Linked DNA regions of Diceros bicornis minor. The main gene of each other region encodes a partner of the protein of the gene in region 3 in a complex. Links are inferred from orthologs where the notes say so. Each region holds a gene or a part of one and is shown on either strand. Other genes may lie near its edges.

The links.
Region 1: the proteins of RAB11FIP2 (region 3) and RAB25 are in contact, whole or in part, in a crystal structure (PDB 3TSO), measured with the Homo sapiens proteins. The link is inferred for Diceros bicornis minor from reciprocal best matches to the Homo sapiens genes RAB11FIP2 and RAB25. Residues at the interface, in NP_055719.1 of Homo sapiens: Arg475, Glu478, Ile481, Asp482, Asn483, Leu485, Val486, Met489, Pro493, Ser494, Leu496, Arg497, Val498, Pro499; in NP_065120.2 of Homo sapiens: Arg34, Ile45, Gly46, Val47, Glu48, Phe49, Ser50, Thr51, Lys62, Trp66, Arg73, Arg75, Ala76, Ile77, Ala80, Tyr81.
Region 2: the proteins of RAB11FIP2 (region 3) and RAB11A are in contact, whole or in part, in a crystal structure (PDB 2GZD), measured with the Homo sapiens proteins. The link is inferred for Diceros bicornis minor from reciprocal best matches to the Homo sapiens genes RAB11FIP2 and RAB11A. Residues at the interface, in NP_055719.1 of Homo sapiens: Glu478, Ile481, Asp482, Asn483, Leu485, Val486, Met489, Glu490, Pro493, Ser494, Leu496, Arg497, Val498; in NP_004654.1 of Homo sapiens: Arg33, Ile44, Gly45, Val46, Glu47, Phe48, Ala49, Thr50, Lys61, Trp65, Arg72, Arg74, Ala75, Ile76, Ala79, Tyr80, Arg82.

Annotation. Positions count from the first base shown.
Region 1 is NC_080743.1:59,707,019-59,717,279, reverse strand, and holds the start of RAB25 (ras-related protein Rab-25), read right to left. Parts: upstream 6,000-10,261; 5' UTR 5,758-5,999; coding exon 5,715-5,757; intron 2,676-5,714; coding exon 2,480-2,675; intron 1,255-2,479; coding exon 1,061-1,254; intron 212-1,060; coding exon 131-211; intron 1-130. Other genes in the region: ragulator complex protein LAMTOR2, read right to left, coding at 7,335-7,391, 7,632-7,721, 9,870-10,032. UniProt on the Homo sapiens protein: The small GTPases Rab are key regulators of intracellular membrane trafficking, from the formation of transport vesicles to their fusion with membranes.
Region 2 is NC_080744.1:60,102,475-60,112,331, forward strand, and holds the start of RAB11A (ras-related protein Rab-11A), read left to right. Parts: upstream 1-4,884; 5' UTR 4,885-5,006; coding exon 5,007-5,046; intron 5,047-5,560; coding exon 5,561-5,671; intron 5,672-9,857. UniProt on the Homo sapiens protein: The small GTPases Rab are key regulators of intracellular membrane trafficking, from the formation of transport vesicles to their fusion with membranes.
Region 3 is NC_080745.1:81,037,573-81,047,670, forward strand, and holds the start of RAB11FIP2 (rab11 family-interacting protein 2), read right to left. Parts: upstream 4,312-10,098; 5' UTR 3,916-4,311; coding exon 3,563-3,915; intron 1-3,562. UniProt on the Homo sapiens protein: A Rab11 effector binding preferentially phosphatidylinositol 3,4,5-trisphosphate (PtdInsP3) and phosphatidic acid (PA) and acting in the regulation of the transport of vesicles from the endosomal recycling compartment (ERC) to the plasma membrane.

The DNA.
Region 1 (10,261 bases), on a different chromosome or scaffold from region 3:
GGGAGGCTCTGAGGTTGTTGGGGGCCCATAAAGGGGCTGAGGAATCAGCTGGGGTGAGAGCTGGGTGTCTGCATTCCTACCACCACCCAGGGATGGAATGGGGGTGCCAAATGGAGGCAGGGACTCTAACCTTTGAGGACAGTCTCAAAGGCCAGCTCAACATTGGTGGAGTCCAGGGCTGAGGTCTCCAGGAATAGCAGCCCATTGTTTTCTGGCAGAAAAGGAAACACATCATTAATTGTGGGTGTTAAAGGCAATAATAATAATAATATTTACTTAATATTTACTATGTGCTAAACCCTGGGCATGTGTAGCTCATTTATTCCTTAAAACAACCTTGAGGTAGGTTTGAATACTATCCCTTTTTTGTTGTTATTGAGGAAGAGTCACCCTGAGCTAACATCCGCTGCCAATCTTCCTCTTTTTGTATGTGAGCCACTGCCACAGCATGGCCACTGATAGATGAGTGTATAGGTACACACCTGGGAACTGAACCCAGGCCACTGTAGCGGAATGCTTCCGAACTTAACCACTGGCCACCAGGGCTGGCCCTACTATCCGTTTTTTGTAGAAGAGGAAGCTGAAGCCCAGAAACACAGAGAGAGTGACTAAAGAACTTGCTCAGCATCCCACATCTAGTAGCAGGCCAAGGGATGTGAGGCTGGGCCGTGGGACCCCAGAGCCTGCACCCTTAACCACTACATCTTGCTGCCTCTAAACCCCAGAAAACTCCCAGGGAAAATGTGACTGGAGATGGTCAAGGGGAGCCCACCAGCTACACTTAGGATCTCTGAGCGTTGCAGGGTGGGGCTGTCTTAAAACCAACTATAAATAATTGCCCCTAAAGACAATCTCAGGGCAAGTGGTGGGACATAACGAGGGACACAAGGTCACAGAGGGGAAGGGCTGGACATCCTGAGGAAGAAGGGATGGGGGTAGGGGATCCTATGGAGGAAGTCCAGGTTGGGGCCCTAGGGTGGGAGCAGGGGCTGGGGAGGCAGAAGCTGGGATTGCGTGGGTAGGGTTGGAGGGGTCACACTGGGTCGCGATGGGCTCTCACCGGCAAACATGCGGGCCTCTTCAGTGGGCACCTCCCGGGCCTGGCTGAGGTCACTCTTGTTACCCACCAGCATGACGACGATAGTGGCCTCAGCATGGTCGTAGAGCTCCTTTAGCCAGCGCTCCACCACGGCATAGGTCTGGTGCTTGGTTAGGTCAAACACCAGTAGGGCCCCCACCGCACCACGATAGTACCTGTGTGGGGGGTAGAGGGGTGGACAGAGGCAAAGTCAGGGAGGACAGGCCCAGCCTCAGAGCAGAGCCTCAAGCCAAAAAGCCAGAGATGAGTACCAGAGATTGGGAAATATGAAAACTGGGTCCAGGGATCCAAACCCAGATAGGGCAGCCCAAGGATCCCGTGCTCCATGCTGAGAACCCTCCAGGGATTCTGATCTTGGCTCCCGTCTTCCTTCATAGCCCATCTACTTCCTTCCTTTGTTCTGATTTTGCCCCTGCCATCCACCAATGCATACCTGAGCTCTGGTCAAATCTGCTTCCTGGGAGCTCCACCTTCAAGATCTTCCTCACGTGGCTCCTTGACCCACAGTGCCCTCTTCTCTCTTGTGGCCATCTTTCTAGAACTAGCTAAATGGCTACCCCATGCAGCGATCCCTGATTTGACCATCTGAGGCATCCTTGCAAGAACCCAGCCTCACTCCTAGAGTTAGATGGAGCTTCTTTGGTGATATCTAATTACTCCCATTTTACTGATGAGTCCACTGAGGCTCATAAGAGGTCAGGTGACCCGTCCAAGAGTGATGAGTATGTTGTGCTGCTGGGTAGTGAAGCCCCTGACTCTTGCTCCCTGCCCGCTGGAGGGTACTGTCCCGCACCACACACACACAGACCATCTTTCTCACATTTGGCCTGATGCTGCTTCCGAGGCGCTCTGCACATGGTGTCACATGTGGCGTAATTTTCTCTGTGTCCTCTGAGTCTTTGTAAAGTGCAGCTGAGGGGTCCAGCCCTTTGCTTTTGTGGTTAGATGGCAAAGCACTGTGCAGAAGTGAGGGGCACTCTCAATTGGGGAGCCTGCCCTTATCCCAGCTCCACCCAGCTTCTTGTATTTAAACAGGGATTGATGGGAGCATCTTACTCCCATGGTACTTTGAGGATGACACAAAATGCCCCATGTAAAGTGCCTTGTACCTCCCTGGGCACAGAGCAAAGACTTTCAAGTGGTGGCAATGACTCTTGTTTTTAGTCCCAGCAGTCAGCATCGCTACATCCTGTCTCAGACTCTTTGTGGCTCACAGTACTGTGTCTCCTCAACCAGCCATGGCGCCCACTGATGCCACTCACGGAGCACACTGCTGAGTGCCCTTGCCTCCTCCTCCTCCTCCTCCACCTCTCCTCCAGAGGTGCTCCCTGACTTCCCCAGCACCCCCACACCCCAGCAGTCCCCCAGCCCCGGGCTCACGCCGAGGTGATGGCTCGATATCGCTCCAGGCCAGCCGTGTCCCAGATCTGAGCCTTGACAGCGGCGGTGCCCAGCATGACAGTGCGGGTGGAGAACTCAACCCCGATGGTGGTGCGGCTGTCGTGGCTGAACTCATTGCGCGTGAATCGGGATAGCAGATTGGTCTTCCCCACTCCTGACTCGCCGATCAGCACCACTGAAGGAGTGGAGAGATAAGGGCTGAGCTTGGAGCAGAGCGGCCCTAAGCTCGCCTGAGCTTGGAGAGTCTGCCGCCTGAGCTTGGAGAGTCTGCCCGCCAGTAAAGGGGAGCTGAGCTCAGAAAACTGAGGAGGGAGCAGAGACTGGGGTCTGCAAATCTGCGTGATGCATCTGTGAGTTTGAAATGGGCTGAGGGGCTTTAAGGGTTCTGGGCTGGTCTGTTGAGACGGGCTGCAGAGTTAGCCTGGGTTTCTGCTGATGGAGTGATGTCTGTGGGCTGTTTGTGGGTCTTGGTGTTCAGGGGTTGTGTGGAGAGGTTAGCAGAGTGTGTGAATGCGGAGAGAGATGGCAGGAGGTCTGGGGGGGAGGGTGCACATTTCTGGACTAGGGAGTATGAGAACATTGAGCACGTTTCTATGTATATGAGCTGGGAGGACAAGTGGGGGGTTTGGTGTGTGTGTTTGCATGGGAGCAGAGGCGCGAATAGAAGTGTGAGTGAGGAGAAAGTTGGCAAGTGACACGTGTGTGGGTGGGGGGAAGGTATGCAGGCGGTGTGTAAGAAGTTAGGATCCAGTTGTCCCCAAGGAGGGGCAGTCTTGCATATTAAGACCATAGGGCTGGGTGTTGGACCAGCCGTGTGTCCTTTAGCAAGTTATTTAACTTCTCTGACTTTCTTCTTCATATGAGAAATGGGAATAACAATAGTGACTATCTTATGAGTTGTTGCAAAAAGTAAATGAGATATTGCCCAGGATATAGTGAGTGTGCAAAACTGTTACTGCTGGGATTGCTGTTGGTAGGCCAGAGCTTTTACTTTCAGGTTTTCAGGGACAAGGATCCATCAGAGGGGCCGTGAAGAGCCTTTGGGCTGGTGGGCAGCATCCAGGGCCCAGCCTTACCGTGGGTGAGCTGGGGGCTGGGGGAGAGTGTAGGGGGCTGATTAAGTATGACCCATAAATTGCACCGACACTGAGCTGAGCATCCAGGGTTAGAGGAGGCCGCCCAGAGTGGTTCTGGAAAAGCAGGCTGGTGCCCTGGGAGCCACATATTCTGGGTTCTGATCCCCACTCAGCCTCTGACTAGCCATGTGACCTTGAACAAGTGGCTCACCTTTTCTGGGTCTCAGTTTCCTTGTGTATAAAATCTATAAAGGCCCCCTCCAACTTTAAAAATTCCTTATTTGTGTAGGACAGGAAAGAGCTGGGAGGCTTATGGGTGTGTGTGTGTGTGCTCCTGCCTCTCCCCTACTGGGAACTTCATCCCCATCTCATCCCTCTGGTGGGTGGGCTCCTAGCCCTACCCTCAGGCCCAACAGCTTCTCAGGGCAAGGATTTTGGAGTCAGACAGACTTGGGTTTGAATACTGACTTTGTGACCTTTTGTAAGCTACTTACTCTGTCTCATCCTCGTCTGTAAAATGCAGATACTAATTGTTAACACTGATTGAGTGCCAACTACGTGCCAGGCACCATCCTAAAGGCTTTACCCATATTAATTCATTTAATCCTCACAACAATGGCATGAAGCAAGTACCGTTATCATTTTCATCCCATTTTTACAGACAAGGGAACGGAGGGGGTTAAATGACTTGCACAAGGTAACACAGCTAGCCAGCTAGCGTGGTAAACGCAGAGGTGTGCTGCCTGGATCCGGCTTCAAGGAAGGACTGGCCCCCAGCTGCAGACAGTGCAGTTGGCAGACAGCCTCCAGCTGTCAGCTCCTTCAGCATGTGCTCCTGGTGCAGAGAGCAGCTGTACCTGAGGTCATGCCTTTCCCGGGCAGCCCCCCACCTCCAGTGCCGGAGCAAGGTAAGGGGATCACAGAGCTCGCTGCCCTTGGCCGAGGCTTTGTGATTCTGCGCTACAGTTTGCTTCCTGCCCAGTCCTGTTTCCTCCCCCTTCCTTTCACTGGTGTTGATCCATAATAAACATCTTATACCCCAAACTTCTTGTCAGTGTCTGCTTTGGAGACCCCAACCTGCAGTACTGAGTAAGCGGCAGAGCTGAGATCTGAACTCAGTCTGGCTCCTGACCGTGATGCTATAATGACCATTATGCTTTCAAAATGGAAGATAACTTTTGGGGGTTGTTATGGTGATTAATGAGCTAGCGGCTGGCACATGCTAAGGGCTCAATAAACAGTAGTTACTAGTGGTCGTACTGCCCCAGACTATTGCTAGCCCTTCCCTGGCCTCCCCTTCCTGGGAAGGATGCCGGGACTACAGGTTCCCCAACCCCAGATGCCTGAGAGTCCCAGCCAGAGAGAGGGTGGGGCTGAGGCTGGGAGAGGCGTGGGGTGGGGTGGCAGGACAGGGAATCATAGCTCCGCCAATCCACCCTGCCCAGAAGGAGGCGTGGAGGTGGGGGTGGCATGGGGAGTGGGGAACAATAGAGAGGCCAAGCACAGGGGCTGAGATAAAGGAGCAGGAAAGAAACACGCACACTTCCAGGGACAGCCAAGTGGAACCCAGGGCCTGGTATTTGGGCCCAAGGGGTCTGCCAAGGGACAGCAGACAAGACCATGGCCCTAGGAGTCCTCTGGATCCTATTAGACCCTGCTCCCAAATCGTTACAGCTTCCCTATGTCTTCACTCAGCCCTATGATGAAATAGATCTCTCCTTTCCTATACATCTTCCCAGGAAGATGACTTTCTTTCTTTTAAGTCTGCTTGTTTCCCCTTTTCTCAGGAGGGAAGTCCTCTCTGAAGTCTGATCTCCATCTCTTGTGCTGCAGTGGCTGACTATTCCTAGGGATTTGGGCTTCCTTTAGGCATGGGGCAGAGGAGCCTAACTCGACACTATTAAGGAGTGATCACCATCATTATTTACAACAGTAGAGCATTCTAGCAGCTCCAGGACTTTCGCCCCTGTAATCAGACCCTCCCTCACCTCCTGCAGCTTTCTTTCTTATCCAAAGGAATGATGAGCCCTGGGGGGTCCTGCTAAGAGATAAAAAAACAGGAAGGGGCCGTCTCTGGTTTGTTGGTCTCTTTCTGGGTCTCTCTCAGGCTTCCTCTCTCTTTATGGACCCCAACTCACCCTTGAAGACAAAGTTATAATCTTCCTCGTTTCCGTTCCCCATCTTGGCTCCGCATGGAGGGTACAAGTGTCTTCAAGGGCAGAGATGACGGGTCTATGCGTTAGTTCAACGCCCTCAACCCTCAGTTCTCAAGAGACCTGGATCCGCCCCTCCTCTCATTGGAGGTAAAGAAACTTCTGCAAGCCAGAGGGATTGGGGGCCGACTCGAGGCTAGGCAGAGCCTAGGGAGGCTCAGCTCTGGCAGGTGGGGGTGCTGCAAGGAAGCTGAGAGGACGGAAGCTGAGAACAGGAAGAGCAGGGCGACTGGAGACCTGGGGCCCAGGTGGGTGGAGAGACGATGACGTCAGACAGGTTAGACAGGTTGGGTGTGTGCTCTCAGCCTGGGCTCCTGCAAGCAGGTGAGCAGGCTCCAGAGGGTGACAGTGGGGGAAGCTGGGACAAGGACAGGGCCTTCAGAGAGCCAGCTGAGGACTGAGTACGCATGTCTAGGCTCCTGAGACCTGTGGCCAGGGGGCCCAGCCACCAGCGAGTGAGAAATAGCCTCTCAGGGAGCAAAAATCTACTTGACCGCCTGCTTTTCCTTCAGAGCCCTTGCAGGGGTTATCTGGGGGCACCATGGCAAGGGCTGTTGGGGCAAGGGGCTGGGGCTGATGGGATGCCAGTCACCCTGCCGTGCAGAGGTCTGGGAGCTGCATCTCCCATACAGCAACTTCTACCCCTCCCTGACAGCCCAGGGCCTGGGACGGGCAGTATGTCTCACCCTGGGTGGAGCTGGAATTTGCAACCTACCTCTTCTCTGGGATGGGTCCCTTCCTACAGCACTGGGTAGCTCCCCATCCAGACCTGCTCTTAAGGACACTGGGTATGGGGAGACCTGGGGCAGAAACAGCCAGATGGGGTGAAGAGTCTGAGTGGAGGGGCAGAATCTGGAGGGGAAGCCCTCTGAGAGGTCTTCTGGGTTTCTTTTACTCCCTCTCCAGGACCTGAAGCCTCACAACAAAGCCATCCTGTCTGCAAAGGGCTGCAAGATCTGGAGAAGGTCTATGTGAGCATGTGAATGCCTGGCAGAAGAGGAAAGGAGTGGCCCCTTGTAGGCAGCTAGGGGACACTCTCCCAACCCCAAGAGTAGAAAAGCTCCCCCACCCCTCAAAATCAGGATGAAGGACACTTAATTCCCAGGGCCCTATATTCTCTTTGTTCAACATGACCTTCCACCAGCCCCTTGCACCTCTGAGCTCACGCCCAAGGTTTTGCCATCAGGTGGGTGAGATTCTGCTCTGAGTGGCAGGGACCAGGGGAGGTCACACCACGGGAGAGGCCAAGGGAGTGAGGCATCACTGCCCAAAACCATTGGGTTGTTGGAGGTCCTGGTGAAGGAATGGGTGGAAATCCATCCTTGCAGCACATGAAGAATCCTATAAGAAATCCCTGCTCCTTTCTATCTCCTCTGATTGCTCCCACTCAAGAAAGCAGCCAGGACACAAGACAGGAGCTGAAGTTTATTCTTGGAAAAAACAAAGTCCCACCCTCCCTCCACAGTCCAGGAAGGTTTCCCCAGGGGGCCCTGCCCCTCCCAGTGGTCATCTCTCTTTTCTGACTCCAGCTTCCACCAACGCCCACTATGATGCCGCTACTTGGGTGAGGGGATCCTCCAGGTACTGCACCAAGGCCTGCGCCTGCAGAAGGGAGAGCAGAATCAGTCCCACACATGGCCTGCCCCTAGAGGGATCCCAAATCCAGGTCTACACCCAATGCTGAGCACCCCCTCCCAGCCCCCGCTTGCTCCTGGGAGTTAGCCCACACCAGACATGGATTGGGTGACAGGTGGCCTGCAGGAAGGTGGTGGGGATGGGAACAGACAGTGATGGAGCACAAAGGCTGGGCCCAGGACTGCAGAGGGATGGGCATGTACACACCTTGGCCTTGAGCATTCCGAAGCCAACAGTCTCCTTGGCATACATACACAGCAGAAGGTTGGCCACTCGGGTAATGGCTACACGGCCCTCCTGGTGGGGACAATATCATGGGATGTGATGTTCGGCTTGGCACCTTAGCCCCCTCTTTCCCCAAGGGCTCCTCTTGAGAGAGACTCTATCTTCCTCCCATGCCCTGGGCACACGCAGGAGCTTCAGCAGTGGGGCTTTGGCCACAGCCCTGGACATGGGGTCCTGAACCCCAATTCCAGCCTCAGCACAGGCACCTACTAACCAAGTTACGCTGGGAAACTCAATCTCCCAGGGACTCCGTTTCTCTTTCTGTAACCCCAACCTCACCCCAGCTGGTGAGGGCGCCAGTACACATGAAGGAGTCTTGTATCTGCAAAGGGCTGTCCAAATGGGTGAGATTATTATTATGGGTTCACCCCAAAACAATGTAAGGGGCTTGAGAGCAGTAACCCAACTTATGCTTCTCCTCTTTTCCCATGGTAATGCTTTTCAAACTGCAGGTCTGACCCCAGGGTTAGGAGATCAATTAAGAAGGTGATCAGCATTAAAAGAAAAAAGAAGAGAAATGAAGTGCATTGCATGTTGTAAGCCGAGACCTTTTTCGCAAAACTTTTGTTTTAGTGGGTATATATGTGCACTGGGCTCTGACTTAAAATGTACTTCCTTTGGCCCAGTTGTGATCAAAGCGTTTGAAAGCTATTGCCCTAAAGCACCAGCTCTAAGCTAGGCACCCAGGAGGAGTCATCAGTTGAACTGAAATGACATCCTTGGTTGCACAGGGGGTAAGGATGAGGTAGGCAGCTGAGTTACAGTGGAATTCCTTTCTGGAGAGTTCATTCTTGGGGCCTTTTTATTTTTATTTATTTATTTATTATTTTTTTGTGTGAGGAAGATCAGCCCTGAGCTAACATCTGTCAATCCTCCTCTTTTTGCTGAGGAAGACTGGCCCTGGGCTAACATCTGTGCCTGTCTTCCTCCACTTTATATGGGACACCGCCACAGCATGGCTTAACAAGCAGTGCCTCGGTGCGCGCTCGGATCCGAACCCCAGCCGCCAGCAGCGGAGCACGCGCACTTAACCACTAAGCCACGGGGCCGGCCCCTGTTGAGGCCTTTTTAATTTGGTTCAGCAAATTTTCACTAGGTATCCAGCGAGTGCTGGGAACCAGGTGCTACACTCTCTGCCTGTCTGGACTCTGCTCCTACTAACCTCCCCATGCCACTCTGATGCCACTCCAGCCACATCAACCTTGTTGATCCTTGACCAGGCAGCATTCTGCCTCAAGGCCTTTGCATCTGCTGTTCTCTCTGTCAGAAACGTTCTTCCTCCAGACAGCCACATGGCTTGCCAACTTCCTTCAGATCTGTGATGAAATGTCACCTTTGCAATGAGATTGTCCCTGACACACATCCGCCTCTATCTCACTTCCTTGCTTTATTTTTCTCCACAGCATTTTCAATACCTAACATACTACTTTTTTAACTTATATACATATTTTACTTATTTTGTAAAACATATTTACACACTTATTTTACAAAACATACATATTTTACTTATTTTAAAGCATGTCTAAGACTAAGTTTCATTATAAATAGTTTTTGTCTGTCCTGTTTGCTACTTTTCTCCAAGTCCCGAGAACATTGCAGGGACCTAAAAATTTGTTGACTGAACAGATACAAAGGTGAGTGAGACAGTTTCTGTTTCCAAGAAGTTCACAGCCTAATGGCCACTTCCCCTTTCTGGACTTCATCTGCTTTCTCTGTAAACTGAAGGGACTGGACTAGTGTCTGGAGACTGTGCCATTCTTCCCTGAGTCTGTGAATCTGGGATGACAACACTTTGTGTCTGTACATCATCCTACGGTTTATATCCACTCTTTCATTTGATCTTCACAACAACCCTGTGTGTATTGTTTCCCCCTTAGAGGTGTGCTAAGGAAGCTCAGAGAGGTTAAGTGACTTACCCAAGGTTCCACAAATGTTAGTGGCTGGCTGAGACCAGAACCCCAGTCAGACCTCGGGTCCAGGGCTCCTCCCTCACCACCACTTGATGCATAGGGTCCTGCCTATTATAAATGCTGCTGCAGACCAACTCTTAGTAATCTTCCAGAGATCCTGTCCCTGCCCCTCCAACCATCCAGGATGGGGTCCGGGTCGCCCCCTGGGAATCCCCTTCGAGGACAGAGGAAGTAGCTCCTCTCTCCATACCATGCAGTCCATGAGAATGAATTTGAGATTGTCTTCATTAAACGCTTGGTTCCCGTTCCGGTCATAGGCGGCCCAGATGTTACTGGCGATGGCTGCGGTAACCCGGGCGTCCGTATCCCCGTAACCGGAGTAGGCCAGAAGAGATCCCTCGTTATTCAGCAGCCTGGCAAGGGACGGGGAGGGATAGTGACATGCTCAAGATCGGAGTAAAATGCCTGAATTTCCGTCCCAACTCCCGCCACCGGCGCTTCCAGAAAGCAAGGGTCTGTGCTGAGGGTGTCCTGGGATATGCCCCGAGCACCCACCACGTCGGTTTCTCTTTTCGAGAGGAGCCATCCCGGCCTGTTGCCCTGCTCCTTCTGCCACCTCCTCCCTTCCCGGAGATCCTACCC
Region 2 (9,857 bases), on a different chromosome or scaffold from region 3:
TTTGCTTTTTCTCCTCACCTCCATTTTTCTAGTGATCTTTCTTCCAAATAGATATTAAACCTCAGATCTCTCTGATTCCTTTTGTATCTTCATAGGCAGAATCTCATATTTTTGTACATTCTGTCCAAATTCTATATTTCATTTCTGAAAAAAGTATTTTTAATGATTAGTAATGAAACCCAAACAAAACCCCAATATGAATCTTTTGGAACTTAAGAAGTTTACTCTAAGGTTCATCTGAAATAGAGTCCCTAAAAATAGTCAAAGTTTAGAAAGAAAAAACAGTGAGAGGGAATTGCCGTATTTATTTTTATTTATCAAAGGCAAATGGTTCCTACTATGTGTCAGGCACTATTCTAAGCACTATACAAATATTTACTCATTTAGTACCACATATGAGACATCAAAATGGACTACAAAGCTATAATAAGCAAAACAGTGTGACACTGGCATAGGAATAAAAAACTTGACCAATGGGACTGTATCAGAGTCAAGTCCTCTGGAAACAGATACCAGATGAATTGGAAGTGTAAGAGATTCATTTAGCAGGAATGCCTGTGATGGACAAAAGGGAGAAGTAGGGCCTTCAGACCACAAAGCAGGTCTAATAGCTATGCAAGGAGAGAGGAAAGGAAGGATTGGGTAGGAAGAGCGTCAGACTGTAATTGCATTCTGAGGAAATTTCGGCCAGGCCAGTGGAGAGCTCAAGAGCAAAGACTGCCTATTAGAAGAGCCCCAATCTGTACAGAAGTGGTCCAGCTCTAGAACCCCCACTGCACTCAGTCGTTGTCTGGGAACATTCCGGAGGGAGCATGGCTTCAGTGTGAACATTGTAGTGGATCTTGGAGGTGTGGTAGCTGGACACTGTCAGCCAACCACACAATAGGCACAATAGGCTCTCTCTTCAAAGGACATCTGAGCAGTGTTCCTCTGTCGTTGCCAGAGGTATGGTGCAAAGATTCAAGAACAGACTCGTTTATATATGTGAGATTCATTTATAAAAATTTAGGCATTTCAAATCAGTGGGAAAAAGATGGACTATTCAAGTACATATTGAAACAATTGGTTATCCATTTGGAAAGAATTAATTTAGATCCCTATTTCACAGCATCCTCAATATAAATAAAATCCAGATGGAGAAAAAAATTATAAAAATATTTTTTAAAAAAACATTTTTTGAATCATCTTAGTGTGGAGAAGCCTTCTTACCCAAAATGCAACAGCCAGAAGCCATAGAAGAAATGACTGAGAGGGATTTGAGTAAATAAAAATTTAAAACTTCTGTATGGACAAAAGCATCATTAATAAAATTAAAAATCAAGTGATTTACTTAGAGAAAATATTTGTGCCATATATAACAGGCAAAAGATTAAAAGGTAGAATATATAGAGATCCTCCCCATTAATAGGAAAAGATAAACAACCCAACAAGAAAACGGACAAGGATGTTGACAGGCAATTCACAGAAGAAATATAAACAGCCAATAAACATAGGAGAAAATGTTTACACTCACTGGTTATCAGAGAAGTGGAAATTATTAGGCACACCAGACGGGCAAAAATTAAATATATTGCTAGTATATTTTTATACTAGTATATAAAATATTGCAGAGTAGCTGGGAAAATGAATATTCAGCTTGTCCAGCCTCTAATGGGGAAATGGGCAAGGAAGAAACAGCTTAGGAATAGGTTTTAATTTAGCAACCCTCAGTATCTGCCAGGTCCATGGGTAAGGGAATGGGAATGCTTGTACAAACTATGGTACATCATTGTTAAGGAAAACTATGCAACAAATGAGTTAAACCTGTATGGACTGATGTGGAAAGATTTTTCAAGGTGAGAAATGGTACATATAACGTGATTTTATTAAAAGAAAACGGAGCAGTTATCTCTGGGGTTGGAGGAGGAATTGAAGTGGAGACTTTAAGGATTTACTCTATATTTCTGCATTAAAGTAATTTACATTAAGTACCTATATTTCTTGAGAGATTAAAAAGAGATATATCAAGGAATTACTACTCATTTTCCCCAAAGAATGTAAAACCCTAATTCTCTTCTTTGTCCGTGGAATCCATTTACCATTTTTTCCACAATAGCCTTTGCTTTTTCTTTCTTCTTTAGTCCCTTAGCTATACCCCATTTCTATTAGTTTGTGCCCGGTTAATTGCAATAGCCTTCTAACTGATATCCACACCTCCAGTCTCTTCACCCGAGTCCTGCAGTCCACAGCCAGCTTAATTTTCCTAAGACAAGGTTTACTTCAATCACTTCTCCACAGATCTTTTATGGCTTCCCCAAAGTGTTTAGAGGGGTGCTAACAGGTGTTCCTTGGGAAAAGAGTTCTGGGGTCTGGTGAATCTGGGAAATGCTGTGTTCTACACAGTTAAAAAAAGATTTCTTCAGAGTGGAATATCTAGACTTTAAAATGCCAGTGTGCTAAGGGAACCTCTAAGGTGGGGAGACAGTGTGTAGTTCTTCTCAATTTATTTGACCATGCAATCCTTTGGAGGAACACTACTGACCTTCTCAGGACACACGTTGAGAAACAATGACTTAAGGGGAAAAGTTATAATTATTCTTCCGGCATTAATGGCCTTGCTCAACATGTTCTTATCATCTAATTTCCTCCACTTCCGAAAATGAGTTTCCTTCCTTGCTTCTTCCTTCAGGGGTCAATGCTAGTTCCTCCTCCGGGGAGTTCTTCATAACTATCTCAGTCTCTGAACTGTGGCACTTATCACCAGAACTCTCATTAGTTACTCCTTCAGAACTGTCTAGTTATTGACAGTCCCCTTTTCTTGGGCCCATCTTGTCTACCCACCTGAGCAGTGCCAGGACTGTGTTTTATACATAATCTGTAGTACACATAATATTTAGCTGCGTGAGTAATATTGTGCATCTCCCCCAACGTGGATAATGCTCACCCCTGCACAAGGCAGTATTTAGACCTTAGATAAACCTTCTATTGCTTTATACTGTGAGAAAAAGCCCTGAAAATGGCACTGTATTAGTTTTCTATTGCTGCTGTAACAAATAACTATAAACTTGGTGACTTAAAACAACAAAATTTATTATTTTATAGTTCAGTAGGTCATAAGTCTGACATGGGTTTCACTGGGCTAAAATCAAGGTGTCAGCAGAGCTCTCTTTCTTCTGGGGGCCTTAGGGAAGAATCCATTTCCTTGCCTTTTTGTTTTTTTGTGAGGAAGATCAGCCCTGAGCTAACATCCACGCCAATCCTCCTCTTTTTGCTGAGGAATACTGGCCCTGAGCTAACATCTATTGCCAATCCTCCTCTTTTTTTTCCCCCTTTTCTCCCCAAAGCCCCAGTAGATAGTTGTACGTCATAGTTGCACATCCCTCTAGTTGCTGTATGTGGGACACCGCCTCAGCATGGCCCGACAAGCAGTGCGTCGGTGTGCCCAGGGGCCGCCAGTAGCAGAGCACACGCACTTAACCGTTAAGCCACGGGGCCGGCCCCTACTTGCCTTTTCCATCTTCTAGAAGCCTCTGCATGCCTAGGCTCCTGGCCTCCTTCCTCCATCTTCAAAGCCACAAGGGCTGATTGAAGCCCTCTCACACCACTTGACTCTGACCTCCTCTGCCTCCCTTTCCCACTTTTAAGGACCCTTGTGACAACATTAGGCCCACCTGGAGAATCCAGGATAATCTCCCTATTTTAAAGTCAGTTGATTTGCAACCTTAATTCCATCTGCAAACTTAATTCCCCTTCGCCATGTAACCTAACACATTCACAGTTCCTAGGGATTTGGAAGTGGACATCTTTGAGGAGCCATTATTCTGATTACTACAGGCACCCTTACCCAAAAGCCTGAATTGTGGGTTTGCATATTGGTGGTAGGGGGTGTGACAATAAATGGGAAAAGCTTTTTGGAATGACAAAACTCTCTTCAAAGACAGGGATGCCCTGCTGCGTGATCTCTGGCAAATCACTTGAGTCTCAGTATCTACATTTTTGCTAAAATGGAAATTGCCATCCTTTGCTCTGCGTGTTAAATGAAATAATTATGTAAACGCGTTTGGCTTAGAGGATGACAAATAGGGCTCAAGAAGTTCTTGAATCTTGATGAGGAGGAGGGTGGGCGAAGTTCTCTAAATGACATCTGGAAATAGTTTGAGAGATTTCCGGAGAAAAGGAGTGAGTGAAAAGCGCCTGCCCTGGAGTAAAGTCGGAGGTTGAAAATTCTAGCAAAATAAATCCAGTTTCATGAAGCTTTTGAATTAAGTTTGAGGCAGAGGGCCCAGGTTAAAAAAACGGCAAAGTGAAGAGGCTCCTTAGGAGCCATCAGGTGACATAGTACAGAATCGAAGGGGGTAATCTGTCAGCTCTTCGCAGGCAAAAATTATATTTGTGAAATTCCCTCCCTATTTAGTTCAAGGCCATCTATACTGTAGCTGTACAACAATCACTAAGTGAACAAATGAATTTATAGTGTGGTCAGGAAAAAAAGCGAACAGCGCAGGTTCCACCGAGATTTGAACTCGGATCGCTGGATTCAGAGTCCAGAGTGCTAACCATTACACCATGGAACCGCTACGCAAAGACACCCGCCTTCGGCTCCCTAATCCTTTATGAACCCCGCCCCCATCCACAAACCCACCACACCGCGGTAGAGCCGAAGCGCTCCCCAGCGCCCCGCTTCCCGGCGTGGCGGAGCGGGGAATGAGGAAGAGGCCGCTAAGAGTGCGGTCAGCTAGGAGTCCAGGGTTTAGTTTCCCCCATGAGCCTCCTTGAGGGGGTGAGAATTTGAAGATCGACGCGATGCTTCCGCCCACCGCCCTTCCTGGGCTCAGGGGCGGGGCGCCACCTCCCCGGAAGTACTTCTCCTAAGGGGTTGGGGCCTGCCGGAAGTGGCGTAGCGGCAGGGAGGGGTTCTTTACCCGGTCCGGCAGCTGAAGCTCGGCGCTCGGGTGGCCCCTGCAGCGACGCCCCCTGGTCCCACCGATACCACTGCTGCTCCCACCCCTTCCCTCTTCGGCCGCGCCATGGGCACCCGCGACGACGAGTACGACTACCTCTTCAAAGGTGAGGCCACAGGCTCGCCCACTCTCCACCCAGTCCCCTTTCGGGGGCCCGGGACACTCCCGGGGGACCCGCGTGCGGGCCACCCCTGCTCTGAAATCGGCCTTCCTCAGTCCTTCCTCTCCCTGCGGTTTGTCCTTAGGTCTCTCGGCTCAGCCCCCTTTCCTCCTCTCGGACAGGGGTCCTCACCACACACCGGTCTCTTCGCGACTTCCCCGCAGGCCTTCTGTAGCCTCAGGGCCCCTCACCGAGTGTCCTTCTGCCAAATCGTCTTCTTCCTTTCCCGGTTTCTGTCGTCCCTTTGGAGGGGCCGCCCCTCCCACCGTCTGTCTTTTCGGGTCTGCTGCCCCTCCCCCTCGGTATACACCCTTCCTAGCTGCTCCCCTCCCCGAGCCCCTCTGACAGGCCCTTCCCTCCGCTCCCCAGCTTTCCCTCGGCGCAGACTCCCACTTCAGGTCTTTTTCTTATCCGCCGCCCTTTCCCCTCGAGCGAGCCTCTGCTCTGCCTGTCTTCACAGCCCCTCTTCTCCGACGGACGCGCCTGCTAGCCGTAGTCTTCCGTCGCGGGGCCGGGCCCGGGTTAAAATCTGAGCGGGCCAGAGGCCCCCACCCGCCCCACCGTACTCGCGGTCAGTAACCTTCTCGCACTGCCCCCGGGGTTGGTAGCTCTTTCCCCTCTACCTTCCCTCCCCACATGGTTTAGAGCTCCGCACGTCTCCTGTGCGACCCCGAGGGTGGGGGGTAGGGTTGGAGGGATTGGCCATCACCCACCCGCGCACTTGTCGCAGTGACCCGGCCTACTGATGTGACTTCCCACCTAGTCTTTTTTCTCCCACCCTCCCCACCCAGCGGTAGCCAGCCCGGGATAACTCTTGACTCTGCTCGCGAGAAGGGGTTGCGGATGGGTGGTGGCTGTTATCCTTGCCAGACCTGAAGGCCCAGTTCCTGAGCAGGAAAGGTTGTGCGCTGCACAAATACTAGCCTGCTTTATCACTATGGACTGGTTGCTTCCTGCTGCAACACTGGGAGGATCCAACCTTTTGGTGTTTTTAGAACGGGAAAGGAAGAGTCCTAGTTAGCCTTATGCCTTTCCCAAAAGGTGGGGGTCAGGGGGGAAGTTTTATGCTCTTTGGTCAAATTAAATATTTATTATAAAGTAGGGAAACATGTAGTGCCCTTGGACAAAACATATTGGAGGATGGGGGGTGAATAGAAAGAATTGCTTGTAGGTTAGGTCCGGAAAGAATCCAAATAGTTTTTTTTTTTTTAATCAACAAAGATAAAGAGTACAGTAAATGCTTTTTTTGTTCTGTGAATGCGCTCTCACTCTGATGCTCTTTCTCTATTCCTGAATTAGGAGGGCAGCCATCAGTAGTATGCTGAACAAAGATCATTACCAGGGAGGAAGAAGCCATTGCTATTGAAGCTTTACATTGGAGGGTGGAGTTTAAAAAGAGTGTTAAGCATGGTGATTGTTTCTGACTTTGCCATTGGGTCATAAGAATGATTGACTAAACAAAGCAGGACACATATCTTTGCTTTACCAGTACTTTGCAAATCTTAGCTGAAGATATACCCTTATCACCACTTACTGCTCTGGGCTAGAATATTCTCTTATACAAGGTGAGTATCTTCAATATCCACCCCCACCTCCCATAGTGAAAAGTTCTTTACAGAGGAGGGGGTACTTAATGCATTTTACAGATACAAAAAGGAAACATGGCTTACTTTGCATACTGTTTGCTGAAGGCCTCTGAGGTCAGGTGAAATTACTTAGTGAGACCCTGGAGACTAGGGTTTAGTCATTAAAGGGAGATTTTTTTTTTTTTTTAAATAAGGTACGGTGGCAAGTGACAGCTAGCTATCTTTGAAGTAATTTAGAACACGATAGACTATCAGAGTATTTCTCCTGTTTGGTTTGGAACTTGAATGTTGGTTATAGAAGCCATTTATTTTTTTCACTAAGATTATTAATTGTCCTGGATTGATTTAAGGAATTTTAATTTATCTTTGGGATTAGACCATCCTAACTAATTGAGAGTACAGGGCTTTGGAATCACAGAGGCCTGGATTCAAATCCTGACTCAGGTCTTAAATTTGCTTTGTAACCTTGGGAAAGTTAACTTTTTAAACTTCAGTTCCCTATCTATAAAAAGGAAATAATACCTACCTCTCCAGACTGTTGTGAGGGGTAAATGAGACTGGCTGTAAAATTTTAGCTTCTGTGAGGACTCAATAAATGGTAATAATATGAAAGAGATTATTCTGGTTCTTGTCAGTTTTTTTTACCTTAAATCTTGATAAATGTAAGAACATTTAAGTGTTAGTAAAGAAACTTAGAACTAGGAACTTCTGAAGTATTTTATATTTCCATGAGTTATGGTTTCATCTTGTTGTACATTTTGCAGTTTAAGATAGGGTGTTTAAAAAATTCTGCTGAGGAGGATTTCCACTTTTTTAAAGCTCTTACAGGATATGAGTCACTTTGTTTTTTACTCAGTGCTGATTATTTAGCCAATTTCTTATTTATACAGTTCTCATAATTTAAAGCGAAGCAACAATAATTTCATTTTCAAATGGTTTCATTCTACAGAGATTTATTCACCAAGATGAGCTGGAGCTCTCTTGGAAGAAGGCTTACCTAGCAAACTTAATAGTTGAGGGAATTGGAAGTTAGTTTGTAACTCTAACTAGTTGCAAATGAAAAGATATTTTGATTAGTATAGGATGGAGTAGTCCAAGCAGGAATGTAATGTGGGGAGAGCAGGACAATTATTCTAAATTATGTTTTTGTTCTTGAACATTAATCTTTAGTTAAGCTCAACAGTGAGTAACTTCTGGTCGGGAGGAGTTAATTTTATTTTTTAAAACCTGACTTTTTATTTTAAAAACTTTAATTCTCGGGGCCGGCCCGGTGGCGCAAGCGGTTAAGTGCGCGCGCTCCGCTGCGGCGGCCCGGGGTTCGCTGGTTCGGATCCCGGGCGCGCACCGAAGTACTGCTTGGTAAGCCATGCTGTGGTGGCGTCCCATATAAAGTGGAGGAAGATAGGCACCGATGTTAGCCCAGGGCCGTCTTCCTCAGCAAAAAAAGAGGAGGATTGGCGGATGTTAGCTCAGGGCTGATCTCCTCACAAAAAAAAAAAAAAAAAAAACTTTAATTCTACAGGTATTTACGCACAATGTGGTTAAGGCCCTGTGGGACACATAAGTGAAGTAAGCACCAATTATAGTTCGTATTTACAGATATTGTGGTAGACACCAATCAGACACCAATCAGAATCACATTTTCTGAAAATATCTGGATACATAATCTACACCATTTTCTTTTCAGTCTCCTTGAAGGTCAGTAGTAATTAACCATCAGCTGATTGTCAGTGGAAACAATGGTAGGAACTTTGCTGTATTGCATCTTGGTAGTTTTTCTTTCACAACTTTTGGTTGAGCAACTTACATTCTGCTGAATCTGGAAAAACTTGACTTCAGCCGTATTGAATGCATTTTATTTTAAAGACTCTTGGTGGTGGTGTACAATGCCTATAGTTAGGAGTAGAAACATCTCCAAGTTTATTTATAAAAACGGGTATGTAAATTATCAGTTATTCCTTCAGGTGATAACTTTTAGGTCTGATGTACTATGATTGATTTGTTGAATTAAATTTTAGTCCATGCATTAGTTTGCAAGAGAGTGTAAAAAACTAAATGTGGTTGAAGAGGTGGAAATTTTTATTAAATAATGCTTAATTAATATGTATATTCTGTTTTTACGGCATTTAGTAGCCTAATATTTGATATATAATGAACCAAATTTAGTATTAGGTATTAGAGATGATAACGTAAGATTCAGCAGATGAAGTTTACCAAGTGGTAATAAATATCAGATTACTTTAGAAAGGCAGTAGATGTTTCATATATAGATGCTGTTATTTAATTTATACCCACACACACATATATATAATATAGATGGCTGTAGTTATAAAATGTTTAAAATAGAAGATAGTAGTTATGGAAAACATGGAAAAGTCACTGCAAATTCCTTTCTTGAACTGTAGGATGTGATTATATAGTTTGTCACATTTTTAAAAAGCAATTAAATATTGTTATTTTAGTGAGAGAAGCTATTTTGATTGGAAATTAAGTTTGAGTCCATGAACTTTTGGTTTTTTGGTTTGTTTTTTAAATCATAGCCAATAAATTCTCTTGCTTAGGTAGTTTAATCCATTCTAGTTTAGTTTTTTAGTGATCCTAAATGTCACCCTTCTTGGTTTGGTTTCTCATTCAGTAACTGAATAGAAGCAGCTTTCCTTATTGTGTCATTTCTCAGCATCATCTTGGCAACACTGTTCTTAAAGAACTGATATCTTCTGTTGTCATTTAAGATATAATTCTTTAACAAGTTGCTAGTCTTAATTCTGGCAACGTTGTCCATGTGTAGTTGAGATAACTATTTTATATTGTATATAGCATTCATGAGTCTTGAACTGTTTTCAGATAAGGGTGCTATTTTTTATAATAAAATTAATTGGTTACATTGAGGAAAAAAATGCGCTCACTAACTATCTTTATGACGACGTAAAGATTTGAGGATGGGGAGATAGTGAACATAGTTGTTAGTAAAAGTGGAGGTCAAAAAGGAAGAAACCAAAACGTGAAAGTGCTGGAGTTTTTGTGGGAGGGAGAAAGTGTTCTTTGAGTTATTTATTTATTTAATTCTCCAAAGGCATCATCATTCTAGATGTCTTACTGTTTGGCTTTAAACTAAGTGACTGGCTCCTGAATTACTAATTGATATCTGAGTGCCTATGAAGTAGAAATGTT
Region 3 (10,098 bases):
AGGGTAATCAAAACTCACAGAATTTTACAAATAAGACCAAATAAATCATCTACTTTAACATCCTTATTTCATAGATGAGGAAACCGAGGCACAGAGAATAAGTAACTTCTCAATGTCAGATTAAAGTCAATAAGGAAAATATCCAAAGTTAATGAATAATATCTGCAAGAAAACAGAAGTTCTTTCGTATTTGATGAACCACATGTTAATAAGGTTAACCGTACAGCTGGTCCTACATTACAGGACACTGTATTTCATTGAGACATGACAGCAAAAGAGGAAGGCAATGTAGGCTTTCCCCTGCTGGAGTGTAAGCTCCTTGAAGGTTTGCCTTGCACTAAATAAACGTTTATTGAATTTTTATTTCTAAAACTATATTCTTAAAACCACCAAGCTACAACTCTGGGTGTGCTGCGTTGTTTTGGTTTTTGGTAGGGAATGCTAAGGACTTAGGTAAGCTTTAAAGAATAAAGCAAGTCAGTGTTTAAATGCAAACTGTAAATACAGTATATTTTCCATCCTACCCCCTCCAAAAAAAAAAAAACTGCAAAGAACTTTAACAAATATACTAATTTAAAATTTGGACATGACAAATAACTTATAGCTGCTTTAACAGAAAGCGATATAATAGGGAAGTCTTAACGAGACCTTCAAGAATCATTCCAGAGATAGTACTTGTTTTCCCAGGCTTCGAAAAGATAAAATGAAGACATAGCATTTAGGGCTTAGTGGATTAATGCTGATTTTTTTCACTTCTTGAGTGCTGGATTTAAACTGTATATGGCCTCTGTTCAACTTTTCGTGGGCACAGGTCCATGTTCAAAACCACCACACATGTGGGAACTATTCCCAAGCAATTGGTGCTGTGTGGTCAGAAATGGGACAAGATTGGCAGCGAGGGTGCCAGAGGCCAGGACGCAGGTGTACTGCAGAGACGCACACAAAAGTCCTAAAACCTGCATGTGTGTGAGTCATACCTAACTCTAGGGACTCTGTTATTACTTTTCATGAGCATTAAAAAAAAAATCAACATCACCCACTTCTGTTGTAAAAAAAATCAATAGATATTACCTAACAGCATGAACGATTTTACCATTCTCTTATTAAACACTGTATTATTTCCTTAAATCTCCTGCCAGAACCAACCCAGACACCCATTCAAGAGAGATACAGAAGTTCTCTTTCTGGCCCCACTCAAAGCGTTCTGGCTCAGGCCCTTTTTCCTCTCTCCTTAAAAGGAAAAAAAAAAAAGGGAATTAATTTCAAGGTATAAAAATAAGTAAAATAATAGCTTTAGCCGTCACACGTCTTTGCCTATCATGACACAGCTGGAAGACAAGCCGTAAATACTTGTCTTCAGTGTCAAGAGTAAAAAGTGTCACTCCCAGCAGTTTCATGGGACTTCTCAATCAGCTGGTAGCCTTCATCACTCATACCAGTTTCTAAAAAGCACTTGGGAATATGCTGACAAGGTTCAGCTATGTGGAGAATATTAAATATCTTTCTTGCAATACACTGCCGGCTCAAGTCTGTCTCTTACTGTGCCACATGTACAGCTGTGCTGGAAAAGGAAGCTATTAAATATATTAAAAAACTAGGAATATTACCAATAAAGATATCTCATCAAATACGTGGTCCCCATTTATCCACAAAGAAAGAAAATGTTAGGGATTTAATAACATATGAAAACCACTTTGAATGCAATAAAAGCTCTGTTGATAACATTTAAAAGCATTTTCCCCCCAAAAGTTCTAACCAATTTTATATAGGAGCCCATAGAGAATTTCTGTAGGGAGACTACGATATTAGAGCATTGCTTACAGCCAAATTTATTGTAACTGTGATGCTACCAAAGATAAGGAGTAAAACAAGAAGAAACATTAAAAACTTATTTATTTCATCAGAATCTTTGGGTTCGCAGTTGGGCCTACTTTCACTTGGAAAATTTATATTTCAGAGAAGTCTTGTAATATATCATTCATTAACATGAAAAGTACTGTGAATGCAGTGTGAAATCTGAAGTTACAATATAAAGTTTACATTCAAAACACTTTATTATATAGGAAGTGTCATCTAACATTGGCAATTTGAAACAAATTATTTGGTAATTATCCATTTTTCATTTTAAAGTTGATGAAGAACTCCTCAGAGGAAACTGGATGCCACTTTGTAGGTACCAGTTTTATTAAAATCATCGATACATAGTCGACTTTACGTTTTTAAAAACTTTTCCTCTCCTTTTTTAAAAAATATTTTCATCTCCTCAATTACCTTAAATATTTATCATTTTTCCTCTTGCATTCCTGCTATTTCTTATTTTTCTACCCAACTATCATATATATATTAAGCCTTAGGTAAAGATCTGATTTAAAAAAATTTTTTAATAAAAACTCCAATCAAGAGAAGCTTGCTGGAAGCTATGTGGAGAAAAGAACAAGAGATGGTTGTTTTAAAATAAAAGACATTAAGATGAACTTCAAGAAAATTATCATTATGAACAAGTTTTTAAAAGGTTACATAAATTTTAGTTATGACTGAAATACCAAAGCTATTTTGGAAATTTCAAGTCCTCTTATAAATTCAACCCTATTTTTCTCTCTCATTAATTCCATCAATCTTAATGATCTCTCAGACTAGAAAAATTATAAGTTTAAGGAAGTTGCAAGTATACCCATCTCTGAAAACACACTATTTTTCAATTTAAGATATAATATTCTAGTGTTCATTTATATTATAGTTTTTTAAAATTAGCATATATCTATCTATCCTAAGCTTAAAGTCATATTTAAAAAGCCATGTTTTCATTGAAGATGTTATTAAATCATTTCATCACAAATTAACCATTGTCTCCAATCTGACAGCATTTAATATGGTCTAAACACACTAGACCTAATTCTGAAGTCACATAGTAGCTCCAATATATTGTAAATTCAAAGGAAAATGTTAGTGTGTTCAAGGCTAAGGATGTTTGTACATACTTTTAAAACTTACTTTCTTTTAACAGCTTTGGACTCCATCAAGATGTACTGCCCCTGAAAAATGGCTGAGCTAAAATAAAACCCAAGTATGTTTATAAGGATGAAATGGAACACAGAGTTCCAAATTTGGTAATTTATCTTTCGACAGCTTCAGAGTTCCACATATATATATGATGTTATATTGGCAGATTTAATTTTCTGATGTTCCATTTCCCGGAAAACTGTATGTTTAAAGATGATAATTTACATGTATGTTGTTTTCGTTGGTCAACACTGTGATCCAGTCCCCTTATAAGTAGTGAAACGATGTTAATTTACTTAAAATCCAGTGCAAAAAATTCAATTATTTAATATGTTTACTCAAACAAATAGAGTAATGGAGCATTAATGACTCCATTTATAAAATGTTTCTTCACAAGGGCTATTTTTACTTCAGATTCATGCAAATATGGTGCTTAAAACTGGGTCATATTTCAGTCCAAAAACCAACGCCCCAGGTATACAAATAATTTCCAAGAACAGAAAATCCATAAATAAGACAGAGTTAAGCTCCCCCAAAATTCAAAATAAATTACATAACTTACTCTGTTTTCCTTCTTTGTTTGTCCTCAAAGATGTCATTGAGATTGATTGCCACCTGCCCTAAAAACTTATCCAGACCCACCAGGGACCTGTGCATAACTATGAGGAAAAGAATGTATTTCTCTGGATTCCCCTGCATTAGCAAGCCAGGTAGCTCAAAAGAGGCCTCCTCCTTCCAGACCGGCTCAAGGGTTTTCTCAGCTACTGAGGTGGAGTACTTTTCCTTGCCCAGCTGAATTATAGTGTATGTGTCATTGGTGCCACTTTTGCCTTTTGGCTTAAGATCTTTGGCTTGGAGCACTGTGACCTGCACGTGGGTTGGAAACCACTTCTGGGCTTGCTCGGACAGCATCATGCTGTGCTGCTTCTCCGCAGCGAGTTCACAAGCGCAGGCAGTGCCCCTCCCGGTGGGGGGAGCCTAATTCCTTAAACCCTGCATCCTAAGGGCACTTAACAGAGACCGGCAAACTCACAGCTGCCCAACTTCCCGAGGGCCGATGTCAAATGGCCTCACCGGGGCAGCCCGGGGGCACGGCTGCTCTGGGGGTCCCCTTTCCTCTGGAGAAGCACAGGGGCCCAGCATCACCTGGCCGCGCCGTCCCGGCCTCCGCGCGGACGCCCGCGCCTCGCGTCTGCACCTTCAGGCTCCGCGGCCCCGGGGACGGGCCCTCGGCGGCGGCGGGCGGCTCCCGGGCCTGCGGGCAGGTGAGGCCTGGCCTCCAGGGCCGGGCGGAGGGCGGCGGAGGAGGGAGGGTGCCCCCGCCCTGCAGACTAGGGCCCGCCCGCCCAGATCCGCAGCCCCCGGCCTCGCGCCCGCCTCCTCGCGGCCGGGCCGCCCCCGCCGCGCCTCCCGCCCGCCCCGCGCGGGTCCGCGGGCCCGGCCCGGCTCCTCCTCCCGACCCCGGTAATACGAACCGCCGGCGGCTCGCGCGGCCTCGCTCCCTCTCGCAAACCTCTCCCTCCTCCTCCTCCCCTTCGCCTCGGCTCCTCCTCTCTGGCGGGGCGGGTCGCCTGGGCGTGGAGTGGGACGGGGGGCGGGGGACGCGGCCGCCCCGGCGCCGGCGGGCCGCGGGCCGGGCCGCGGACTGCAGGGCGGCGGGCACGGGCCCGGCCTCGCCGGGCCGGCGGTTCCTAGCACCGGGCGGGCGGCGGCAGCGGCACTTCCGGGTTGGCTTTCTCCATCTTGCTCTCGGGAACGCGACGGGGCGGGGCCCGCGGGGTCAGGGGTCAGCACCTCCCTGGTTGCCCTGGCGACCGAGGGCGCGCGGCGGGAGCTCCCCGCCCAGTGCTTGGTGCTCCTCGGGTGGCTTCGCGCCCGCTGCTCCGGCCTGGCGCAGCGCTGGGCTCTGGGGACGTGGAGGTCTGCACGGGCCGGCAGGGAGCTCTGGGGAGATCGGGGGACCGCTCCCGAGAGGAGGCAGTGAAGGCCCGGGGCCTGCCCCGTCTAGGGAGAGACCCAGTTTCAATCTTCGGAAGCTGTCTGCTGTACTCTGGATGCCCAGTGCCTGGCACGGAGCGGGCGTTGGACGAATGGCGGTGGAATGAATCAGTCCCCTTCGTTAACTGAAAACACACTTTCCCCAACCCCTTATCCACTCTTCTCTTTTTGAAAAGAGAGAAGGCTGTTAATAGGCTGGAAGGACATCCTCCACTCAAGCCAAGGGAGAGAGGGAAGCTGATAAAAGATTCCAAAACGAACACGGGGATTAATAAAGATCGCAGGTGGCACTGGACTGGAGTCTGAAGACCTGGTTCCGACCCCAGGTCTGCCACCATGTTTGTGTGACCTTGGTCAAGTCATTTCCCCTCCCTGAGCCTCAGATTCTTCACGGGTAAAACAGGTCTCGGTTGTGTCTAAGACCCCATCGTAGATTGATGGGCTCAGCGTCAAAAGGACCCCCCTGGGCACTCACAGTCTAGTAGACTATCCAGCTTCGGAAGCCAGCCCCAGAGATGACTCTGGTCATATTCTGTCAGCTAAGAAAAACAAACAGCCTCCTTCACCAAGGGCAACAGACGTTTGTCCTACCTGCGCCTGAGGTCAAGGTCTGATGGACGCCAGAGCTGTTGGAATGGGAGAGGCTTTGTTAACAGAAGAAAATGGGGATATGTTAATACTCTGCTTTTTCTGAAGATAGCTTGATTTTGTGGGAAAAATATGGGTAATGGCTGGTGAGTCAGGAACCTTGCTTGATGTCCTAGCTCTGCCAGAGAATCAGTACAAAGCTCCTGATGGGCACTTAGCTTCATGAGGCAAGAAACTTCCATTCTGGGAGCCTTGATTTCCTTGTCCATAAATTATAGATAAAATATCTGTTATGGAGTTGGGAGGAGTATTGTGAGGTAATACACGTACACTTCCTAACGTAGTATTGCACAAAATTCTAAGTCTCTCTCTGCCCCTCTATTTCTCATTCTCCTCTATTTATATACTCCTCTATTGTGTTTATTTCTGTTCATGTCTTATCTTCCCAAGGAAATTCTAAACTCTTTGGACTGCCTGTGTGTCATGAATCATCCCTTCACAGTGCCTAGCATGCAGTAGGCACTCAATTTACTGAATGACTTAATACCTTCTCTCCCTTTACAAGACTAATTTTGAGAATAAAACAATATGATAGATGTGCATACACTTTTCCAACATAAAATGGCCATAAAAGGGTAAGGTATTGTGTTTATTATTTTCAAGCAAAATTTAAAACTCTTTCATTTGAGGAAGACATTATGTTCTCCGTGTTTTCTCAGTGTGCCCATGTTCACAGGATACAAGCTGCAGCACTGAGAACTCTAAAAAACAAGGATCTTTTCCCATTACATTGAGAGCCCAATATATTTGAGTCAGAAGAACAACCATAGAGTTGAAAAACCTTAGTAGGAGGAAGAGAACATTATACATTATTTTAATCTTGTGGAAGGAAGATGCTTCCCTGACCCTAAAGGACAACACCACAAACCTTGAAGACCACCCAGATTCCAGCACATTTTTTCAGGGACCCACTGACACTTGGTAGTGTCCATAGATTTCCTTTCGTTTGTTAGACACTCTAGTTTTTTAGTGCTGCTTACACACAATGGCTGGTGTGAATTCTGCATGAAGTAGGCATTCCAAAAAGAGACATCGGATTAATTTACCACCAAGATCTTCAGGGAACCAAACTACAGACGAATCTTGAATAGTCTTGAGCTAGATACCATCTAAAATGAGAAGACCTGGTCTTAGGTCATTCTGATGAAAGTTTGCTGTAAAATGTAAAAGAAAGAGGCAGAATTTTCATCTCTGAGAGACAGTGTATGAAAAGCCATGTGTGTAAAACAGAACAAAATCATCATACTGTGAATATAGCACCTGGACCCCAGAGTGGGCAGTTGTCAACTGTAAAGAAAAATATTCTTAGGGATTTTTAAAGAGTACCTTGACATAGTCAGTGGTGGAATTTCACCAGGATCTACGGGGAGAAATAATTTAACACCTGAAACTTACAAAAAGAAAATAAGCATCATGAGAACAAATTTAATTAAGTTTAGAATTTTTATAAATTACATTTTTTAAAGTCTCTATTAAAGATTGTAATTAAATAAACAATAGGCAGTTAATTATAGTAGTGGATGTGTGTTTCTAAAGAGCTTAAATAGTTTGGTAAGCTTTATTAATGATTATAAACTTGTTTACAAATGTCATTTCACTCATCTCTGAAATATAGCCATCTCTAGGGTGGAAATTGGCAGCAATAGTTCACAGCAACGCAATAACATACTCCAACACAATTCAGGGAGTACTCTAAAGGCAAGAGCTGAAAGACTGAAATTACTAACATCTCTTCCTGTAGCACCTAAATTTCTTTTGAGTTTTCCCAGAACCTGGCTAGAGCCAAAATTGTTTAGTTTTACTATCTGGCAAGATCAGAAGTTATGACTTAGTGTTTGTAAGCCAGAGTAAGAAAATAGCATATTTTTGCCCTAAGGAAGAAAATAAACAAACAAATTTTAAAAATGAGCTAAATAGAATCTGGATTTGCATTGTAAAAGTGAAGTGATTACCTATAAGAAAGTGTTTTTCTCTTTTTTTATCTTTGTATCAAGAGAGTAAAAACATGTCAGTTGGGTCAAATAAGTGGTTGGCTCATGGTGAAAAATAATGGCATTTACATAAGATCTGGGATCAAAGTGGTTCTGCAAAAATGTTTATTGTCTTAAAGTTTTAAAAATTCTCTTTACTTATTTTAAGATATACATGGACAGTAATTTAAAAAGGGAAGAAGAATTGCATGCATAAGGACAACATACCAGAATCAGAGAGTCATTTTTTTTATTATCGCATGACTAATGATTTTTTCAGAAATGTTTGATATAATTCCAAAATCAAGGGCTTGGAAAAATAATACATCCTAGGGAGGAAAACACTGAAATCTCTAATTTTAAACTGTTACAAGCCTGCCGCAATGAATAATTTAACGATTTGACCAGAATGAACCATTTGGCCAAAAAGCAAACATAGTCAATATTTATTATGCAATAGTGGAAGATTTCGCAGATGAAAATATTTACTAAGTGCTGCATCTTTAAGTAAAGTCCCATAAGCAGACTTATTCAAGCATTGTGAAAGATTTTTTCCCTTTAGGCATCAGTATCTCTAAGATCACAACTTGCAAATCTATTGTAGGATGATTATAATGCTCTTAGTGTTTAAATGGCCTGCTGGGTCAAGAGTGTTAACGCTCTCATATAAATGTGTAACAGGTATTAATTAGTTATCTGATGGAGGTTCAGAGACCTGAGGGCAACAAGAAGCCTTCCCAAAATATCATTACAATCTTTGGACTTCAGATACACACACATACACACCCCCACACCCACACCCACACACACACATATACATATACTTGAAATATATAGACAGCTGAAATGTATATAAAATTTATACGTGTATACATGTGGCAAAACTCCAGAGTTATGTTGGAGATACTTACATAGGTTAATCTCCACATAATCAGTCAAAAAGTAAGAAAGTATTTGGCAAGTTGATTTGAAATTATAATAGCAATAAACTAGTGATTGGGGGTTTTTGACAATTGTTTTGTTTTCATCACTGAGCTGGTTCGTTTGTCTTCTGGGATGGGGCAGCGTGTGGACACGGTTGCGATGCGCGAAGCAGTGTGGTGTGTAGTGTAAGGAGCTCTAGTCAGCAGCCTAGGTCTTCATCCCAGGTCTGCCCATCACAGCTACGCATCTTTAGGGAAGTAGTTTTCCTTCTCTGGTCCTCTGTCTCCTCATCTGTAAAATAAGAGTCTATAATAGGAACGACTAAAGCATTCTCTAACATTTAATAATTCTAAGTAGTACATCCACTGTACAAAGAAGCAAATTGCAGTACAATTATCTCATTGAATTTGGTCAAGATACTAAAGCAGATTCCCTTTTTTTGTAATTTATTAATGCAGGATCCTCTAATTCAGGAGGAAAAAAAATCTTCAAGACATCCTGAGAGCTCTCTCTCCCAAATGAAAATGATTATCACAGAAAGGAAGTAAATATAACTTTGATTAATAGGCCCTGCATGAGGATAATGACACTAACAGCTCAATATTAGGAAGAAATTACATAGAAGTGCAAGTGGTTTTGAAAAGCCTTAAACTTTTCACTTGTAGTAATTAATACATATGACTTCTATTCATATTATTTGTAGCTCTTTCAGACCATGAAGACATGTTGAGGAGCATAAGAATTTATGGAGCAGAATACACATTTGCACGTAAGAATGTTTTGTGTAGCTGTCTTTTGATTTCCTCTTCATGGTTTCATGGTATTATGTTGTGCAATTTTTGTTCCCTACAAAATCAATGCATGTTGATGCATAGAATGTGAACTGATTTACTTTAACTGTTCTATGGTATTGGGTCAGATGAATAAGCCCCATTTGATCTTTTGTCCTTCCAAAGGACATTTAAATTGTTTCCAGTTTTTCACTATAATAAGCAATGCTGCAGAGATATCTATATATGTGTCCTATGCATGTTTGCAGGGAATTTTTTTTTTTTTTTTTGGTAATCATGTCTCTTTTTGACAACTGACAGTGAAATTATTGGGAGTTTGTGATGATAGTGTGAAAACCCATGGGCCTAAGCATCAGAAGACCTAAGTGATAATCCTGGCTCTGCAACTAAGGAGTTGTAGACCTGACAAGTCATAATATTTCTGTGCCTCTGAGGCCCCTTCCACCTCCAGAATTCTCAAAGTCCTTCAGATATATATACATATAATATTGTGTATAATATATAGTATATATTACATATGTAATAAACATAATATACAATATAATCATACATATAAATAATACATATATGTATATTATAATATATAATAATATATTAATTTATATAGATATATATACAATAAAATAAACTTAGACAATTACTGAAAAACACAGATTATTGTTCTTAGAGAAAAGTTTTGCGAATACTTAGGTATTTGTCTTCAAGTTTTAATTGTCTCATCATCATGAGTCTTTCTGAAACCTTCCAGAACATTGGAGAATAACAAG